Kluyveromyces lactis: one gene and its partners. The protein of the gene in region 1 purifies or fractionates together with the protein of each later gene. This does not show direct contact. Links are inferred from orthologs where the notes say so. Each region holds a gene or a part of one and is shown in the gene's direction. Other genes may lie near its edges. The genes, in order: LPX2, LSP1, KLLA0_F13618g and KLLA0_D16236g.

Region 1 (5,683 bases):
GTCTTTTTATATTTTGAACATACCTATCATTCTTTGTTAAATCCAACGCCTTGTGAGAACTCTTCGGACGGATCACATTAGATGGGTTAGAGTTAGCACTTGAGTTGTGCGTTGAAACTGAGTTAGAGTTTTTCAACTTGATTCTTCCAGTACCATGGTGGTAAGAAAAGTGCGATATTTCAAGTTCAGGTGTGAAGCTGGAAAGTTTTTGTTTTAATTGTTCCATCAAAGAGAGTTCCAGTTCCGAAGGCTGGGTTGTAAAATCAGCGTATTGTTGTAGTAATTCCCTAGAGACCTGGATTCTTTGTGTTTCTAAACTTTGCAATTCTCCACTAATATGTCTCCATTCCTCAAACCAATGTGCTCTAGCAGCTTTACATTCATGATGTAAGACGGTTTTCCTACGGTGTGATTCTTCCACTATCGAAGACCATTTTTCCAATTCTCTCGCATTTTCTTTCCTTTGGTATTCGCCCAAGGCAGTTTCTTTGTTGAGCTGATACTCTCTCAGTTTATTCTCAGCACTGAGTAATTCTTGATCTATAGATTTCAAGGCTTTCTTCTTTTCATCTTTCAACTTCCTTAAGTTTTCCACGTTTCCCGTTATCGTTGACCATCTGGCTCTATATTGCTTTAAGAAATCACTCATCGTACCGACATTTTCCCTGTTGAGCCTCTCATATGCCTTAGAATGACCATTGGCTATTGTCTGCTGGGAGGATTGGAAATATTTTAAGGATTCAGACATATTATTGTAGTCCGCATATCGTTCGAGATTGTTCATTATTCTTGCACTGAGTGCTCCTAATCTTCTTGCATAATCCATCTCCAACTCACTTCTCTTAGTGAAACAATCGAGCAATAACTCACAGGTGCATATACCTCTTCCAACATGCTGAAGAAGAACGGTAACACCTTGATCGTCTTCGTCCCAGAAACTTTCTTGATAGTTGTATATTTGAGTCATTCAATCGATAGCTTTCCTTGCTAATACCTACTCTTTGTTATGCCCTCAACTTCCCTTCAATTGTAGATTGTTGAATGACAAAACAGATACCGTACATCTAACTTCAATCCTTGTGAATTGTTAACATACACCGAACAAAGTTTGGTGAGAGAGCCAGAACCATCCATCTCTACAACTGAATACAATCACTGTGATAGTGCTGTTCGATGATGTTTACATTATTCCTGATTGGGGAATAAGTTCAATCACGTGACTTATATTTTTGTTTGTTTATTGCAAAGCAAGTAATAATACCAAAAAGGGAAATTATGCTTAATTCTGTACCTCTATCATTTTTGTCTGTACCGGCCGTACAAGAACATGAAAAGAGAAAGCGAGGATAAATAGGAGAGCCTAAAATCCCCATAATCTCTGACGATTACCCTGGTATATGGACAGCACCGTCTAATGACTTGAGAGTCCAATTAAATTCCTGAATTAACCCATCGCAAAACTCTCTATGTCTCCTTTGTGATATGCTTTAGCTCCGCACGGGATTGCAATGAAATAATTAGCAAAAACGTCGTGAGTATTTTCTTCCTGCTAAGAACCATCAAAGAAGGTTCACAGAAAACAACGTACAAACTGTATATCAGGGTAACCAGCCGAGTTTTCCCCTGTTTTCATTACGACATTGTTCCCAAATTGAGACTATTTCTCTGCAACACAGTACATACAATGATACAATTCGTAATAGCAATCGTCCCCTTAAAAACGGCAAACAAAGATGACAACCAAGGCACCAGCTCAACAGCAAGGGTTCCAACTACACTGAGGGTATAAGTTTCTGCGGTACCTCAGCTTGGTTCCTTCCTTTTTTATTCTCAATTATTCTGGCCAGTTTTTTTTCGCCAGGAGTCCCTAAAAAGTCACTCTAGCCAATTTTTTTTTCTTTTAAGTTTATTTACTTTGCAATATCAAGAAATTATATATCCTTAATTATAGGGTTTCTAATCAACAATTCACTTTAGCATATATTCGCTTCGTTGCTTTATTATAAAACAAACGTGAATTCAAGTGTATTTCGTTCGTAATTACAAGTAAAGGTTTATCATAGTTACGTTTACTCCCACTAGAAAGAAGAGTTAATACTAAACTTCTCAAAAAACGGGCAAAGGATAAGCAAATTACTGATATCGAAATCAGAACGTGAACCAAGTCCTATTGTGTTTTACAAATTTGAGAGGAACATAAACCAAAAAACTACACTACTTGGTCGCTCAATTGTACGAGTCTAAGGAACACTTTCGCTTTTTACTTTGAATTATTAGTAGCTAAGAAAATACCCAGATATATTACCAGAAACAGAATGTCTTTAGTTTCTGCGGTAACTGGCGACGAATCCAGGGATACTAATGGTGCAGAACAAAGTTCTGTTTACCAGAGTGCCGGTAAACCATTATCCAAGGAGGCTCTATACAGAGCAAAATTGAAGTACGGTGTGTTCCAGTCTCCAGCTCAGTCTCTGAAGGCCGGCGTGGTTAATGGTAAGGATGCTTCAGATACTGCTGCCAATTTGGCAACGAGCAACAAGACCACCATCGAAGCCTACAAAAGGTTATTGAATCCAAATGCTTCGAAGGCAGCTAATGCGGTCATTACTCCAAAGAAAACTGACCAATCCAGACCAGCCAGTGCTGTAGTTTCGTCTGCTGCGTCTTCTGCTGCAATTGCTGCTCCCAAGGCTGCTAGGTCTAGGACCTCTAGTACAGCAAGTACTACTGTAACCTATGTCAATTCCAGTTCTTCTTCGCCATTGCACTCTAAGACACCAAAGATGGATATTACTAAAGTTTTGGCGGGTGCTGAAAGAAACGCTGCTGAAAGTGTTCATCAACGTACTAATCCAGAAAAGGTTTCTTATGTGAGAGGTATCACTGATCGTTCTGTGGGCAAAGCTGCTGATGCAAGTTTCTCTCTAACTTCTGATATTGTATCTAATTTACCTACCAAAAAGGAGTACATCCAATCCGCTGAAAAGGAATCTCATGCAGCTGAATGGGCACAGAAAGCTGTTGCTGCATTGAAGGATTTCAACCCGGATGATGTCACCGACAAGAACTGGAGAGAGAGGGAAGAAGAAAGGAAAAGGCTTATCAAGAACTTGACTTCAGAAACAGTCCTAACCAAAGCTAAACTGAACGCTCAACAACGTTTGGATACCATTGATCGTGAGACTTCTCAAAGGGCTATCTTTAGAAACGCGGAGTATAACAGGGCTGCTGCTAGTGTCGCTCAGGAAAATTTAAGAAAGACTCGTTCTTCTGCTTCTGCTACTGCCAATAAAGTAAATTTGGGCGGTGGTTTATGGCTAGCTCCTGATGATATCGATAATATTGCGAAGGGTCTCATTGCACCAGTGCTTGATGAAGTTGACCAAAGAACCGGCGCTCAACGTGCAATGGACATTGATATCCAAAAAAGAAGCGTGGATTACCAACAGCAATACGAAGAATGGGTCAATATTCAAACTGAAAAGCAAAACAATGATTCTTTGCTACAGGCTAAAGCTTTCGAAAATCATCAGAAGGAAACTGCTGATATCGAAGCTACTTTGGCCAAAAAGTTCCAGAATCTTTGTACGCAGAAGGACAGTGAGGTCGCTAAATTAAAAGAGGCACTCGAAGCTAAGAAGGCGGAACTTGCTAAATTAAAAGAGGATAATGAAGAAGAGCTAAAGAGAGAGGATGAAATGATTACAACAGAATGTGCCGACTTACAAAAAAGCAATGAAAATGAACTTGAACAGGCTAAGAAAGACCAGGAAGAGTTACTGGTTCCATTCAAAAATGACCTCGCTGCTGCAGAAGACCATCACACGGAGTTACAGGATCAAAAGGGTAAAATTGAAGAAAATATCCAGGAGCTTCGTGATTCAATTGAAAAACATAAATCTCATGTAGAAGAATTAAATGCTCAAATTGAAACACAGCAACAGCAACTGGAAACAGAGACTGAAGCTTTAAATCTCCAGTCTGAAAGCCATCAACAGTTGAAAGATGGTATCGAAACCAATTATGTCATAATGGCCGAAAAAGCAAAGGAAGAAGCCAAGGTTTCCAGTGAAGAAGCAAGGGTCAAGCAATTGGAAGTAGATGCGATAATTAACGAACGTCAAACTGAACTATCAAACACCGAAATTGAAGTAAAGAGGGAAAAACTTAAATTAATTGACGCTATGAAAGAAGTTGCTGAAGTAAAGAATGAGGATAAAATTGACGAAGAAAAGGCCAAGGCTTTCCTGGGAACAACATCTGGAGAATTCCTTGCTAGCCAAAAAAAAGTTGAGCCAGCAACTAAATTGCAATCTGACCCAAAGTTATCAGAACCTTCTTCAAAAAGTACCAAAATTGAAGGTGTTACTGGAAATGTTAAAGCGGATGTCCCTGCCTCTCCACCTGCTCACAAAAAGCATTCAATTGGAGGATTAACCTCTCCATTGAAATCAAAGAAAAAATCTGATAAGGACCAGAAAGGATCTTCTATCAAGAAATTTTTTGGTTTGAAGCCATCTGATCAAAATAAGAATACAAAGACCACGCAACCAACTCCTCTTAAAAGTTCCCCAAAGCCTTCTAATAAACCAGTAACGGCAACTGTCACAACCGAAAAGAAGGAAAATGTTGAACCGAAATCTACAGCAACAGAAACCAAACCTTCACTGGAACCATCATTTAGTGGCTTTAGTCAAGGCTCCGTTCATAATAAAGTCGAACAGTCAGATGCTTCTGAAGTAGAAGGTGGAAAAGAAGAGCCTACTTCCAAGGACAACAGAAAGTCCTTGTTCAAAGAAGTATTTTGATTTGAGCTGTGAACATGGTCTGCTCACATTTTTTTATACTATTGAACTCTAAAACCAATTCATCACGTATATCAAAAAGTTCTTTTTATTGATTGATCTTTTAATTACAGTGTCAGAATGATTCAACTCTTCATAATTTGAAGCCATTTCAAAGTAACAAACCGTTATGTATCACTATGAACTTTATTTTTTTCTCTATCTCATAACACTTTTTAAAATTCCCAGAAGCCTGGTAATTTATTCTGTTCTGTTTATTCTATCTATAATATACTCTATTTTTTGTAAAGTTCTAACTAGTATTATCATTATGCTATATTTCAGAATATCCTTCCGAGTAGTTTATATTTACAACTTCATTAATAATTTCTTGAGAAACTAAGTGAGTTATAGTGCGTTCAACTGATTGTACTTGTAATAGTTCAAATTCTCCGTAATTGTGATTTGATGGAAATACTTGGACTGGGTATATCTTCCGCCAATATACCAGTCAACAGAGACAATAATGAAATATAATCCGAACCAAAATGCCAATAGCCATTCAAAACAGGCAGTCGTTGATCTATCTTCTAAGCATGCAAAACAAATAGCCCAAACGAAAGCAGCTATTACCCAAAATGCCTTTAGTAAGCCACTGATAGTATACTTGTTCCAAACATGGCCGTGCCATTCATTCCACCTTGTGTCTTTGCCGATATCTTCACTACTTGTAAGAGGATGGACGACAGCGTAGTGTCTGCCCATTGTCATATATTGTGCGACATGACAAATTACACTCAATCCGACAAATGCACAGAATATACCCACCATGGAACTGTGCACCCTAGGATACGTGTTTGTTGAGAAGATAGTGCACATAAGCAAAGCCAATTCACCTA
Region 2 (4,482 bases), on another chromosome or scaffold:
GCATAACTCCATGCAAGGAAGTTTCGATGATTTATAGTCAATTACATATCGTAGATAAATCTATTATAATATAAATGTGCTTGTTTCATTCGAGTCCCCGTCATATAACAATGTGTTTTCAACCGGTACATATTGATGTGTCAATAATTTCACGCATTCTTGTGATACCATTGCACCAAGAATTGATGCCATCGCAGGGCTGACAAACGTTGTATCATGTCTATCGTTTTGTAGCGATAGCAACTTATTGAACTTCGGTTTTTCACTTATAGTTCTAGTTGCCGATGAGAGGCTACCCATTTTAATTGCATCCAAATGTTTTAAGTTCTCGAGCATTTTATCTATGAGTGGTTCAGGTATCAAACTATAATTCTCCTTTGCTAGAATGCGCATGATTTCTGATTTATCCTTGGCAGCTTTACGTTGATATACTGCTTTCTGCGCGTTGAATAGTTTAGTTGAGGATTCCATATCTGGAATGAATGCGGACACAGGTAAATCGCCTCTCAAATCGTAAAATATTCTGATGCATCGTACAAATTGGTATACCCATCGATTAATTGTAGAATTAGGTTCAGCATGAAAACTATTCAAGATGTTGGTCAAATTGTGAGGAAATGGTCCTGATTGATCGTATAACAGGAATGAGGACCTCTCTGCTTCCACAAAGTTCAAATCATTGGTCAAGGGTCCAGAGAGTATAGAATCGTGAAGTTCGATGAACTCTGCCCTCACTGATTTTCTATTGATAGGAATATTCTTTGACTTTAATGATTTTCCCACATTGTACAGTAGAACGGAATAAGGCAAGGAGGATACCTCTTCCTGTGACATATTTTTTACATCGAATGATTCGTGATATTCTGCTAGTTCAGGCCACATACGATTGAGTCTTAAATCGAAAGTGAAATGTCCATGAGAATCAATGACACAATGAGGTTCACTGCCTATAAGACGAACAAATCCCAAGTTATCGTTGGTGGATGCCATTATCAGAGGAACTGCTGAGAGTTTCATGACACGTTGTAACAACGGACCAGCCGTGCACAAACATATGACAATAGAGAAAGAGTTCCATAACTTATGTTGTGAATCAATTGGAACTGCATTCTCGTTCCAAATATGGAACGTAACATCTGGATTCATACTTTCTAACGCATCAAAACCTAAAATATCCGAGTTTGACTTGTTCACAAAATCTGATCCATTAGACGAGCCAAAAACTACAGTAATCTCATGAATACCCATGAGAGCCAAACTCTTGACACATTCTCGCATCAACAATGTCTGATTATCGTCTACAACGCACACATGAGACTGAGAAAGTAAATCCTGGCCTGAATGGCCCCAGATCATCAACTGTCGATCATAACGGTCATCCAAACCACCATTTATCTGATCAGCCATAACCTGTACCAACGCCCTTGGTCCTTGATCTTTAACACTAGTTCTAATGCAAGAGAGCCCGCCTTGATTGGAATCAAATGACGTATTTATCATGAGATGAGCTTAAAAGTTCAAGCGAATCAGTTGGATTACCAAAGTTCAAGCTAGATCAACTGCATACCGTTACCCGGACGAGTACTTCAGCATTACCCTAAAACTTCATAAGAGACTCTAAAGAGCCAACATAAGGCCGGCAATACACTGTTAGTTCGTCATTTCCTGGCCCTGTTTTTGCTACGGCTATATCATAAACCAACACCACCATCACCAGACAAAGCGGAAGCAGGAAGTACTATAATATCATCCACCTACATACGATTCTTTCCAGTCTCGAATGATAAGCCGAAAAGAAGAGTCGAACAAAAGTTTCTGAAGAAACCAACATAGAGAACCGTGCCCGCAATTTGCAAAGAAGAGAAAAATTGCGTGGCTCATGCCATGTCAATGTCCCTAGAGAAAGTAAGTGTGGGTCATGTTCTGTTTCTCTTTCTCTTTCTATGCATTTTTTTTTTTTATTTGGGAATAACTGAAAAGGGCAATAGGCAGTAAAAAAATAATCAGAGTTTCTTGGCCTGGGACAGAACCTTTTTTGCTATCTACATATAACTTTCCTCTATATAAAGTAATTGATTATCTTTCTACCTGTCTTGTTTTCTGACGGATTAATTTTAGGGGTCTTACGCAGGTATATCAAGTAAACTTCGATACATAGTTTAATCTAGTTGAATCGAAATTTTTTTTGGGCCAATTTACTCTTCTAGTGCTGCTTTTAGATTAAGAAATAGGGGAAACAGAAAATATTCGATATCAAGAAGTTAAATTAAATACCGATACTAGTCTCCAAAAATGCACAGAACTTACTCTTTGAGAAATAAGAAGGCTCCTACAGCTTCAGAGCTCCAAACTCCAGCTCCACCACAATCTACTACCAAGTCTAAGTTTTTTGGTAAGGGTTCTTTTGCCTCCAGTATCAGAAAGAATACTGCTGGTCAGTTCGGCCCATTGTTATCTAGAAAGCTATCCTCTTTAATTAAGACCGAAAAGGGTTACTTGAGAGCTTTAGAAGTTGTTGCTAGTGAACGTCGTGTTGCTGCTAAACAATTGTCTCTATGGGGTTCTGAAAATGACGATGACGTGTCTGACGTGACTGACAAGCTAGGCGTTCTTATCTATGAACTGGCTGAATTGCAAGACCAATTCATTGACAAGTATGACCAATACAGAATTACTTTGAAATCTATCAGAAACATTGAAGCTTCTGTGCAACCATCAAGAGACCGTAAGCAAAAGATTACTGATGAGATTGCTCACTTGAAGTACAAGGACCCTCAATCCACCAAGATCCCAGTTTTGGAGCAAGAATTGGTTCGTGCTGAAGCCGAATCGTTGGTTGCTGAAGCCCAATTGTCTAACATTACCAGAGAAAGATTAAAGGCTGCTTTCAATTATCAATTCGACTCTGTGAGAGAATTAGCTGAGAAATTCGCATTAATCGCTGGTTACGGTAAGGCCTTACTAGAACTATTGGACGATTCTCCAGTGACTCCTGGAGAAGCTAGAGCCGCTTACGATGGTTACGAAGCTTCAAGACAAATCATCATGGATGCCGAATCAGCTTTGGAATCCTGGACCTTGGATGTCGCTGCTATCAAGCCAACTTTGTCCTTCCACCAAACAGTCGATGATGTTTACGTCGATGAAGATGGCGAGGAAGGTGAAGCCTTAGCTGCTGAAGAAGAGTGGGCTGGTGAACATGAAGGTGGCCAAGAAGAAGAAGCTGTTGAGACTACTGAAGTTAAATAAGCTCTCGCGATCACATGCGTTAGTTTATTTTACCAATGCCGCTACACTCACTTCTTTAAAAATGTATGTGGCTAGCGTATATTGGAATGATTTATTGTAGAATCAAATACTCGTTCCTGCCGTGTACGTGCCCTCTTTAACTTTTAAAAATGAATTTTTCCAGAGAGCTCGCAATGTTACTGTGTGACAGGTAAAACGGTAGTATGTGAAGTCCGTTATACCATTGCTACTCTCATATTCTATGTAATAAAACATTTCTATATCTCTTTTAAGTAACACTAACTTCTAATATCGTGCTGAGTTAATAACAGCCATTGGAATTCGGTCGTAATATCGATCAATCTGTTTTGAATTTTCCTGCTGGCTTCTCTAGGTATGAATAAAAACGGCCAATAAATCACAGGAAATAACACTCGAAAAGTCTTTGGATTTAGTGGAAAGTTCGAGCTAGCAAGGATAAGATACGGAACAACGTGATAATTGATTCAAGTATCCTTTTTAGAAACATAAGTATATTCATTTTAAAAGAAGCAGTCAGTTAAAGTCTTAATAAGTTAAGTTAAAACAATTTACATAGCATGAAAAAATTGAAGGAGCTTCATTTACCAGGTTTTGAACCAATTGGGTAATAATTTGGGTCATTCAAATATTTCAAATCCTCGACTGGTCTTTCTGCCAATGGAGTCACACGGACATGGTGTCTTGTAGATTCAGAAGCATCGAAATCATATACACCAGCATGATACAATCTACGATTATCCCATACAACTACAGTGCCCGGCTTCCAATTAGCCCTAACTTGAGCATCATGAGCATTATCGATAACCTGATACAAAAATGCTAGAAGAGCATCTGATTCAGGTTTCTTTAGTTCGACAATTTTTCTGGTGAACACTTTGTTGATGTTAAGGACTTTCTTCTTCAAAACTGGATGGACTCTTACCACAGGATGGATAACGTCATAGATTTCATGTCTTGAAATGCGCTTGGTAGGATCAGGAGAAAAGGCATCGCCGTTTGGTGGTAACGCGTGAACGGCATGTAATCCACTCAAATATTCTTGCAAGGATGGCGACAATCTATCAAAGATTTCAATCGCATCACCAAACAAGGTATCACCGCCAGATTGAGGAGCATCAAGCACTGCAAAAAAGGTATAACCGGATGGCTGTAATTCAAATGTGATGTCTGTGTGGAAATACACAGAGGTCAAAGTTTGTTCGAAAAATTTGT
Region 3 (5,660 bases), on another chromosome or scaffold:
TGAACGATGCTGATAGAAGTTTGCTTCCATTGGCCGGTGACGAAAGTACCTTGCGTAGATCTCAATCAAGAGCTTTCTTATCAGAAGACGGTTCTCCATCTCCAATCGAATTTTTCCTTTCCAGTGATGCTGCCTCCATTGTAAAACACACCAAGAAGGTCTTGTTCTTGGAAGACGATGATATTGCTCACATCTACGACGGTGAATTGCACATCCATAGAGCTAACAAAAAATTGACAGAATCTGCCACCAGATCCATTCAAACCCTTGAGATGGAATTGGCTCAAATTATGAAGGGTCCATACCAACATTTCATGCAAAAGGAAATTTATGAACAACCAGAATCTACTTTGAACACCATGAGAGGTAGAATAGATTTTGAACACAATCTGGTCAACTTGGGTGGTCTAAAGTCTAGATTGTCTGCCATCAGGAAAGCTCGTAGATTAATAATGATCGCCTGTGGTACTTCTTATCACTCTTGTTTAGCTACAAGAGCCATTTTCGAAGAGCTAACGGAGATTCCAGTATCAGTGGAATTAGCGTCAGATTTCTTGGATAGAAAATGCCCAATCTTTAGAGACGATGTTTGTATTTTTGTTTCCCAATCCGGTGAAACTGCTGACACCATGTTGTCCTTGAATTACTGTTTGGAAAGAGGTGCATTGACCTTGGGTATCGTGAACAGTGTTGGTTCTTCCATTTCTAGAAGTACTCACTGCGGTGTCCACATCAATGCTGGTCCAGAAATCGGTGTTGCATCAACAAAAGCTTATACATCACAATATATTGCATTAGTAATGGTGGCTCTTTCTCTATCAGACGATAGAGTCTCCAAGATCGAAAGAAGAAACGAGATCATCCAAGGTTTGAAATTGATTCCAGGTCAAATCAAAGAAGTCTTGAACGTGGAACCAAGGATCAAAGAACTTTGTGCTAAAGAATTGAAGGATCAGAAATCTTTACTTCTATTAGGTAGAGGTTACCAATTCGCAAGTGCCTTGGAAGGTGCATTGAAGATCAAAGAAATCTCTTACATGCATTCAGAAGGTGTGCTTGCTGGTGAATTGAAACACGGTGTTCTAGCATTAGTCGACGAAGATTTACCAATCATCGCTTTCGGTACCAGAGATTCCCTATTCCCAAAGGTCCTTTCCTCAATCGAACAAGTGATAGCCAGAAAGGGTCATCCAATCATTATCTGCAACGAAAACGATGAAGTTTGGCAAAACAAGGCCAAGGCCAACAATTTGATTACTTTGGAAGTTCCACAAACTGTCGACTGTCTACAAGGTCTATTGAACATTATCCCATTACAATTGACCTCATATTGGTTGGCAGTCAACAACGGTATCGACGTCGATTTCCCAAGAAACTTGGCTAAATCCGTGACTGTCGAGTAAGAAAGGCTCTATCTTTTTCTCATTTTGCGTACAGTTTATCTAATTTTTCTAGTTTGTCCGATACATTCTCCACATATATAATTAACAAACCCGTCAGATCAATTCCGTTCCCCTCCTACCTACTATTAACATTGTAACACCAATGGTAACCCTCTTGTCTCTTGTTTTCATACCTTTAGGTCCGATTTGGTCTTATTTCGGTTTCTTTTCGAATGATTGATACCTTGAGATAAAAACAGAAAAAAAAAAAGGGCAAAACATTCAAATCGAACTTTAAGTGCCGAACATCAACAGAAATAACGAAAGCAAAGGCACGTAAAATACCATTACTGTTTGTTAGAGGGCACTAGAACAGGTGTAATTCGTGTATCAGTCAGCTGAAAGTATATATTAAGTGGAATTGGTTCAAGAGAGGGATTAAAGAAGCTGCTGTTGCTTTTATAAAAAAAATGTTTCGTTCTAGAAAGTCAAGAGAATCGCGTTCTATTGATCCTGGTGCTTTGGTTGCTGCAAACACCATTGGGAAGGCACTGGTACCTTCTAAGGATTCGTTTGGGGGCCAGGTTGTAGATAAGAGTAAGATTCCCAGGTATAACAGTATAAGTGGCCGTTCCTACTCGATGGTAAACAGTCCCAAACCAAGTTCTCGTCGGAACTCTGTGAGACATGCTAGTGATACTGGAGATCGTTCTTCCAGGTATGGCTCGATGCGTTCCGTACAGAGTGGTAACAGGGTTGCTCAAAGCGATGCAGACAAGGTTTTCCATGAGTTTGGTGGTAATGAGGCCAAATATGTGCTAGGACCCAGTGGTCTGGTACGTGTTGATAATGACAATAATGAGCCTAAAATGGTATCTAGATACATTCCTAGCAGCCATGGGTTGGTCAAAGTCGAAGTTCCTTTGGAACAGTACGAGGCTGAGAGGAGAAACAGTCTTAGAAGGTCGACTTCTTTACGTGGTGGGATGACTGTAAGAAACTCACTTTCTAATAAAAGGAGTCATGCCTCTTTAAGAGCAAACTCAATTGGACATAGAACACCTTCTGGAACCCCATTGAAAAAACTTACAGAAGTTCCTACCGTTGAAGAAAAAAAAGCGGATATTACTCATTATAGGTCTTCGCCATCACCGGTGCCTAGAATCACAAAGACTGTCTATGCAACTACAGCCAAAGAAACATCAGCTCCAGTCGAAGAATTCAAACCCCCATCCTTCGGTAACGGTACTGCATTACCACAGACTCCTGAAAGAGCTATCACTAAAGATTTGATAGACTCAGCGACAGAAGAAGAACAGCCAAAAATTCATACTGATCTAAGCGTTACCAAAGAAGCTGTTGAACAAAAGATCGACCTTGATTCAAAGCAAGTGGTAGAAGAAGAACACGTTATTCTTACACATCAGAAGGAAGTTACTTCTTTGCCAGATGAAACGATTAATGCCGAGAAGGAAACTGACAAGGAATCTCTCAAAAAAGCAGAGCATAACACATCTAAAGTAGATATTCCGGATTCAAAAGAAAAGGCTCTTCCTGGCAACGATGGTGTCCAGGAAACTATAGTTGAAAAAGTGGTTGATGAAGAGGAACATCAAATTGAAGTTCAAGATCCTATCGTTGCTGAACGTCAATCAGAATCTCAACCGGAGTCCCAACCGGAGTCCCAACCGGAGACAGGCAAAAGCACCCTCGCTCAGTATATCAGGTCCGCTAATCCAGAACTCCAGAGAGTTAATGAGGAGGATGCTCTTGTTACCCCTAAGATTCCATTAGAAAAGACTCCTTCACCTATAAAATCCGCAATGAAGAAAACAAACCACAACAGCCAACAACTTCAACAACAATCTCAAGCTTCAAGCGCATATCTGTCTTTAACAACAAAGGAAAACACTAGGTTAAATGCGCAACTTTCTCACGAAAGTTTGAGAGAAACCGCCAGCAAACAACAAGCACAAAATCAATACCGAAGACAGCAACAGCAAAACCAGCAGCCTCTAGCTCCTAAGAGAAATTCTCAAAGACCGCAATCAATGATGGCTCAAAGAGTTAATGGTGATAGACGTTCTTTCATGCAGAATAATTCCGGTGTTGCTTCCCCTCGCGATGCTAGACCTAGAAGTGTCGTAGGGAAGCCGTCCAACAATGCCAAATCGCAACAAAATAGTGGACTTTACCCAAGGGAACCTCCTCAAAAGCGTTCAAGCTTCGAAAAGCAAAGACCGATGTCCACCAACCTTGGATTTAAAAACTTATCGTTGAGAGAGGATCCGCAACTCACTGACCAGTACGAGCAGCCTCAAGCCCCATTCCAACCACATCCACAACAAAGACAATCTAGAAACTCAACCCCTGTTAAAAGTGGAGTAACGTACAATGGTGTACAGTATGTCTCCGGATCAGTACCACTGCCTGCTTCCAATACCAACAATAACAAACCAAAAGCGTCGTCAATTGCTCATGGATTCAAATCAAGATTTGCCGACTCTGATTCGGACGAAGAATCCGCAAACCTACAGTTCAGCAACCAAGGGAGTCGATCTACTCAAGTTTCAAGCGAATATGAACCGGCACCTCCTCCACCCGCGCCATACAATCCTCATGCTACTTTGAGACCTCAGCCAGAGCCTCAAATAAACGCAACTCACACTACTGAGAAGAAAAAGAAGAACAACTTCAGCAGTAAACTAAAGAAGCTTTTCGGTAACAAGAAACACTGAAAAGTAGCGACTAATATAACACGAAACACATGTAATGGGCATTTATAATCCCTTTTGTATTCTAGTTACCCAAAAATTGTGATTAAGAACACTAAAAACTATCTAATGTACAATTCAAACCGAAGCTTTGTAGTAATAAATAAATAAATAAATAAAGTGAAATTAATTAAAGTCAATTTGATGATATTGAAACATCTTGATGTGATTATTGAACCACTTGGCGCAAAGAATCGCATAAATAATCAATATTACCGTCGTTAACTCCAGATAACGACATCCTGCCGTCTTCAGTTAAATAAATACCGTACCTCTCCTGCAGAATTTGAACCTGATATGGGTTTAACCCTGTGTAATAAAACATCCCATGTTGTGTTTTAAAATCAACAAGATTGGGCCAATTCAATCTCTCATGCATTTGAATTCTAACGTTCCATAGTCTATCAGACATATTCTTAACGTCTACGAACCATTGCTGCTTCAATTTTGGATTGCTTAGCACCAAGTTCGCTACACGAGACCCATATCCCGGTGGAGAAGAGTATATACCTCTTACAATCTTCTTTAGTTGAGAGTCGATGGTTGATTTGAGATCCAAGGGATTTGGTGGGACAACGACACTTAACGAACCTACACGTTCACCGTATAAGCCCATGTTCTTAGCAAACGATTGGCACACAAATAGACCGTTGGGCCATTCGTATTCTAGACACATTCTTAATAGATAAGCATCCTGTATAAGGTTCCCTGATTCCATTCCTTGGTACGCCATGTCTATTATGGGAGTTATTCCTAAATCATGGATCACTGGCAATATCTGTTGCCATTGTTCCAACGTAGGGTCCACTCCTGTTGGATTATGACAGCAAGCGTGTAACACTATAGAGGGGGGCCAGTCGGGGTCCCTAGAACTACAACTCTCCTTGAGTTCCTTGAGCCATTTATCGATACTCAATTTCCCATCCTCGTAGTACGTATAATATTTGATCTGATTGAATCCGTTCCATTGGAAAACGTTCGAATGATTAGCCCAAGATGGATTTGGTATCCATACGGTTTTCGACACAAACGTTGCCAAGAGTTTTGAAGCTACAGCTAATGCACCGGTACCACTCAAAGTTTGCACAAACGTGATTCTGTTGTTCTCCAATAATTCACTCCCGTCACTTGACTCTCGATACAAGAAATTTAACACATTGTTTTGGTAATCCTGCGACCCAGTGATAGGCAAATACGATAAATCATTATTCAGATCGAGACTCGTCTCAAGTAATGATTGGGCAGAAGCTACACTAGGGAAGGTGGTCACACGGCCCCGGTTGTCCTTATAGATCCCAACGGTCAGATTTATCTTGTTTGGATGTCTGTCAACGTTAAACTTCTCTGTTAAACCTAGAATCTTATCAGCAGGAGCCCTAGTTACTCTTGACAAGGCCGACAGCCCTCTTCGCGTTGGTATTCTCATTCAAATTGGGGATTAGACCTTAATTTCTTGTTAATAGTACTATTGCAAATATAAAAAGTGCGTTAATTCTTCAACACT
Region 4 (5,521 bases), on another chromosome or scaffold:
TCCCTCTCTTTTGTATCATAAACTCTTTAAACTTGGGAGATGGTTGGGACACCGACTTGAGTCTTTCTGTTGGAACTGGTCCCGAAAGCACCGGAAGTGATAGCATTAACAATGCTCAAGATGAACTTGACCAAGAAAATGGCAAAGGAGAAGTACAAGAACACAGTAGAAGCTTGTGCCTTACGACATCTGTCCTTAGAACCTTCAGCAATCTTGTTTCCGGAAGTGAAACTGTCGTTAGTACAAGAACCACCACGGATACCAACGGCCAAAGCAGTGGCTGCAGAGAAGGTGAAAACCCAGTTCAAGAAGTCCAAAGAGACTAATATGATAGGCCAAGCCAAAGCTGAGATGAAGTTAGCTATCAAAGCATACAACGAGTCGAAAACGATACCGAAAACAGCAGCAAAGATAGCAAAGTTAACTCTGGAACTAGAATGGTCCTGAGTAGCAATCAAATTACCGACTAGACCGAGAACAATGATTAAAAACACAAAGTTAACACCACGAAGCGAATTGTCTAAGATTGAAAGCATTTTCTATTTTTTTTTCTTATATTAGAGTTTTGGTTTAATTTCAGCTTGAGAGATTTCTTTTACCAACTTTTTATCAAGCAAGCAATCAAATTCGAACTTAATTTATCTTTTATTGATGTAAAGACTTAAACCTTAATTGATAACAGAAGTATTATTAATTAAACAATAATAGTATTATTTTATATATTAAGTAAAAGAGTGAAGGAAAGAAGTAAAGTAAGAACCAGAAAAAATTTATAATTTGTTTCCCTTATTTATTAAAGGATAGAACCATACAATATATGTAATCATTTCCGGATTGAAATATTTCTTCCTTAAACTTTTACCCTTTATATACCTGCACTCAAAAAACTCTGTATAACTAATACCATTTAACAGAAAGAGGCAAAAACAATAACAAATGCAAAAGACAACAGTTTCTTCTCTTCTCATTACCAAGAAATGGTTTTTTTTTTTGTTTTTTTTCCGTGCTTATACTTCTTCATTCAGTTCTTTCAGAATAAAACGTAATTGCATCTGTCTCTACTAGACCCAATTGTTCTGCCGAAAGCAACCAGAGAGACCTAGAATTGAAACTGGAACCTCTGGATATCTCTCTGGATATCCCTCTGTATCGAATAGAAATAAAGAAGTGCCTCATTCATAGCTTTTAGTTTCAGTCTCTGCTCTTCCGTAGTACCTGCAATTCTAGCGGTAAGGTTTTTGTTTGTTCCAGCGTTTTCCAGTTTCATAACAAACCAAAACAAACGAACAATTGACAGCAATCTCAGACCCGGGCGCAGTATCTCAATGTCTTCTCGGCTTGAAAACAGCAAAACAAATAAAAAAAAAAAAAACTTTCTGTGATGACATGGAAAAAAAAAAGAGGGAAAACCTTGAATTCGCTCAGATGCCGGTGCAGCGACGAGTAAGAAATAGGGGAACATGCATTACCCGGTATTAGACATCGCTACGGCAGAACCATTCAGGTTTCCTGCCGAAGATGAGAAAAGCATACGTCTTTTGTTTTAGGGGAGGCAGGGTAATGTAAACAAAACCGTCCCCTGGGTCCCTCTTTTTGTTTCTTTTTTTTTTGTTAGTTTGCTTATTTCCGTTGTCCAGTGTGGGGGGGCCGAGGCCATACAAAAAATGAGTGGTTCTCCGTGCGTTTTTTGCGCTTGCTATTGCTGTTTGCTCTAAGAGCAAAATGGGATGACCTTGGCGATTTACATGCGAGAATATGAGGTCCCTTCAAAATTTCCAATGTGATATCGGTGTTACCCGGCTTTCTTTAGTTAGCCGCGTGTTACCCTGTCGGATCTCCCTTTTTTTCCTCCCTTTTCATTTATTATACCTCCTTTATATAAATAAAGGAAGGAAGTTTCTTTGCATATAAACAACGACAGCGATTAGACGCTGATCCTGATTTAGTTTGGAACGCACACAGCAGCATCCTATCCCATAGAACTCCAGTTAATAATGGTCGGTTTGAACTTGTTTAGGAAACGGAACGAAATTGACCCCTTTGCAGGGTTGCTCGATGACGCGGACCATGCCGCCGAACAGCAACAACAGCATGATCTTACCAACAGTAACAGTATTTTGAAGCGAGTTACCACGAAACAACAGCAGCACCAGGAAGAACTAGATGATAATGAGTACCATTCTCCCTTCCGTACGGCGGAAGAAACTCAACGTGCGCGTCAAGTGAGACAGGAGAAGTTCCCTACTCTGAGCCAAGGTGCGGTACAACTTGACCCGGAACAGATGGGGTACAGCGTTGTTACCGACAAGTCAGTGAAGAAGGCCAAGGATATTATTATTCCTTCTGGGTTGAAGGATACCGAGGCTGAGCAGAAGGTTAGATTGACTGCGTTGGAAAAGAAGGAGAAACAGTTACGTTATTGGAGAAAGTCTCAAAAGATTGTGGATTTAACCAAGCCACAGGAAGCAATTGAAGCGTCGGATAACTTGGACGAACTGGATGAGGTGGACCCTAGTAAGGAACCTCCCATTGAAGATGTAGCTGAAGCTCTAGAAGAAGCCGAGGCTATGGCTGAAGACGATGAAGAGGAACCAGTTGATCCGAAACGCGAGCCAAAGCCTGAGGCCGCGCTGAGGGCTTTTGAAGAAGCTGAGGCAATTGTTCAGGACGACGAGGAGCCTCCAGTGGATCCTGAAGCCGAGCCATCAGCAGCAGTTGCTGTTGAAGCTCTTGAAGAAGCAGAAGCCATTGCGCAGGGCCAAGTTCCTCCAAGAGTCCCGTTGGCTGAAGAAGAAGAACAAGAAAATCCAACCGGTGTTTACAAGGCCCCGGAAGATGATGCTAATGAATACGTCGATCCATCTCGTGAGGCTAGACCAGAATCGGCTGTAAGAGCCTTCGAAGAAGCCGAGGCTATTGTCCAGGATGACGAGGAGGAACCGGTCGATCCTAAACGCGAACCAAAACCTGAGGCCGCTGTGAGAGCGTTCGAAGAAGCCGAGGCGATTGTCCAGGACAATGAGGAGCCTCCAGTGGATCCTGAAGCCGAACCTTCCCCGGAAGAAGCTGTTGAGGCATTCCAAGAGGCCGAAGCTATCGCAACTGAGAACCCAGAAGCTATTTCTCCTCCACCAGATATCAATTCTGCCCCTCGTGTTCCATTCACACCCAGTGGCGCCAATAAGGCCGGTACTGCTGCAGCTACTTCTGGAATTGCAGCTTCAGGCTTATTTGCCCTTTTCAAACGTTCGAAGAAACCAGAGTCCTCGACCAAAGTTGCTGCAAATGCCGCTGCTGGCACCGTTGTTCCAGGCGATGATGCGCCAGTGGCCACCCCTGAAGATCCAGAGTTAATTGTCAGAACACAAGAAGGCTACGTCTCGAAGTCTGTTTACGATAAGTTGCAATACGACGAGGACCAGCACCAAGCCAAGTTGGCCCTGTACTCCAAGGAACAAGATGAAAGGTATGAAACTAAAGCCCAAGAGTACGAGGAAAAGATCCAATCAATTCAAGCTGAAATTGCTGAATTGGACGCGCAAATGGAACAGGTTAGATTGGAACATGAGGAAAAGTTGAAGTTGAAGCAAGTTGAGAAATCTCAAGCATTACTAGAAACTAACGTCAAGCACATTAACGCCAAGGGTGATCTGTACAAGCAAACTGAAGAAATCAAGAACCAAACCATCTCAGATAAAGAGGACAAAGAAGTTGCTCACCAAACTGTCCAATCTGAAATTGATGAATTGTTGTTGTTGAAAGATGAAGTTGCCAAGGAAAACCAGGAACACGAATCGAAGGTCGAAGAGTTGACAGCAGAATTGGATAATAAGACATCTGCATTGAATGAATCCTTGGCTAAGAAGGATGAAACTAATGCTGAAATTCAAGCTTTGGAAGAAGAGAAGGCCAGATTGGAACAAGAAATTAAAGAAGCTCAAGAACTTCACCAACAAAACGTCTCCAAGATCGAAAGTATCGACAACAAGGAGTACTTACCTAAGGTCAATGAAATTAATACCGAAATTTCTTCACTACTTGCTTCGTTAGGTTTAATTCAACAAGAAATTGCCAACCAAAAGGTCGAGTTTTCTAGTGTTACTAGGAGATTGGAGGAAGAGCGTAAACAACATGAAGAACAATTGCTAAAAGAAAAAGAGGAACGTGAGCGTTTAGAAAAGGAGCGTTTAGAAAAGCAACGTACCGAGTACGAAAAGCAAGCTGAAGAAGCTCGTTTGAAGCACGAAGAAGAGCTGGCTAACCTGAAGCAAACTCACGACGAGGCGCTGAAGGAGGCACAGTTGCAACGTGAAGCTGCGGCCAAACAACTTGAAGAAGAACAACAGAGACGTGAACAAGTAGAACGTGAAAGAACTCGTCTACAAGGTGAAAAGGCTATTGAAGCACAACAACGAGGTAATCCCGAAGACAAGAGACTGGAAGCTGAACACGAAGAAAAGTTGAGAAGGCAAGCAGAAGCTGCCAGTGCAGTCGAAAATGCCCTGAAGAGTAGCAACAAAAAAACGAAAGCAGCTGTTCCACCTGCAAACACCACAAATTCTTCTCTATATGACTACGAAACCGTTGAAGAAGTCATAACTGTTGATTGAATAACAAAAGAGATCTTAAAACGAAATAACATTAAACATTGGACTTTGTAATTTCTAAAATATGTCGTTTCTAATTTATATTGATTTATCATTCTACTTCTTTATCCATTAGATAAAGTTGTGCACGAAGGGGATAGCCAATGTACTCCTTGTCTTGTCCCACTTCAGTCTTTCTTGTTTGATATAAATAAAGCGGACTTTTGAGAAGTTTTTTTTTTTTTTATTTTTTGGAATGAAATTTCATGAACAATCATCGATTTTATTCAAAGTTATTCATGAAAGTAATATCTTTCATTATAATCACAGAGCTCATATAGTTATCGGAGTTTAATTGGACTTACTATATCCAAATAAGTAGTTAGAAGTTAGGCTGTGAACAGTTACTACTTTTGACTGTCCTTGACCGTATCGTCACTTTTTTCCAGCCCTTTCTATCGGTATTAAATTTACCTCTTTACAAATCATAAGGCCAATGTTGAGAATTAACGGCCAGCAAGCAATGATGCACAAGGCAGTTGCCCGTGCTTCCACCGTGCGTACATTCACAGTCTCTGCTAAGGCTATGAGCAACCCTAGATCTCCGTTACAGATCTTCCGTGAAACTTTTAAGCAGGAATGGGAGAAGTCTAAAGAATTACAAGACAATATCAAAGCTTTACAGGATGCTTCTGGTAAGTTAGGTGAGTCCGAAGCTTACAAGAAAGCTCGCGAAGCGTATGTCAAGGCTCAGAAGGGTTCTACTATTGTGGGTAAAACTTTGAAAAAGACCGGTGAAACTGTGGAAACCATTGCCTCCAAGGCATGGGATTCTGAAATTGCCAAGTCCACCAGAAAAGTTGTGAACAAGACAGCTGATAAGTTGGATGAAAGCTTTGAACCAGTTAGAAAAACGAAAGTTTATAAAGATGTGA

What was found.
Region 2: the proteins of LPX2 (region 1) and LSP1 purify together in Saccharomyces cerevisiae (affinity purification with mass spectrometry, with the first as the bait; 3 studies listed by BioGRID). This does not show direct contact. The link is inferred for Kluyveromyces lactis from reciprocal best matches to the Saccharomyces cerevisiae genes EIS1 and LSP1.
Region 3: the proteins of LPX2 (region 1) and KLLA0_F13618g purify together in Saccharomyces cerevisiae (affinity purification with mass spectrometry; 3 studies listed by BioGRID). This does not show direct contact. The link is inferred for Kluyveromyces lactis from reciprocal best matches to the Saccharomyces cerevisiae genes EIS1 and SEG1.
Region 4: the proteins of LPX2 (region 1) and KLLA0_D16236g purify together in Saccharomyces cerevisiae (affinity purification with mass spectrometry; 3 studies listed by BioGRID). This does not show direct contact. The link is inferred for Kluyveromyces lactis from reciprocal best matches to the Saccharomyces cerevisiae genes EIS1 and YGR130C.

The regions. Positions count from the first base shown.
Region 1 is NC_006039.1:1,066,450-1,072,132, forward strand, and holds LPX2 (Lpx2p), read left to right. Parts: upstream 1-2,315; coding exon 2,316-4,808; downstream 4,809-5,683. Other genes in the region: formin-binding protein HOF1, read right to left, coding at 1-967; SFK1 (Sfk1p), read right to left, coding at 5,193-5,683. UniProt on the Saccharomyces cerevisiae protein: Required for normal formation of eisosomes, large cytoplasmic protein assemblies that localize to specialized domains on plasma membrane and mark the site of endocytosis.
Region 2 is NC_006041.1:1,270,655-1,275,136, forward strand, and holds LSP1 (lipid-binding protein LSP1), read left to right. Parts: upstream 1-2,292; coding exon 2,293-3,249; downstream 3,250-4,482. Other genes in the region: ATP-dependent RNA helicase SPB4, read left to right, coding at 1-37; ULA1 (Ula1p), read right to left, coding at 64-1,500; KLLA0_E14433g (TauD/TfdA dioxygenase family protein), read right to left, coding at 3,848-4,482. UniProt on the Saccharomyces cerevisiae protein: Together with PIL1, main component of eisosomes, structures at the cell periphery underneath the plasma membrane that mark the site of endocytosis.
Region 3 is NC_006042.1:1,260,456-1,266,115, forward strand, and holds KLLA0_F13618g (uncharacterized protein), read left to right. Parts: upstream 1-1,852; coding exon 1,853-4,120; downstream 4,121-5,660. Other genes in the region: glutamine--fructose-6-phosphate transaminase (isomerizing) GFA1, read left to right, coding at 1-1,403; aspartate transaminase AAT1, read right to left, coding at 4,326-5,582.
Region 4 is NC_006040.1:1,365,807-1,371,327, reverse strand, and holds KLLA0_D16236g (uncharacterized protein), read left to right. Parts: upstream 1-1,994; coding exon 1,995-4,610; downstream 4,611-5,521. Other genes in the region: KLLA0_D16280g (MARVEL domain-containing protein), read right to left, coding at 27-536; protein translocase subunit TIM44, read left to right, coding at 5,083-5,521.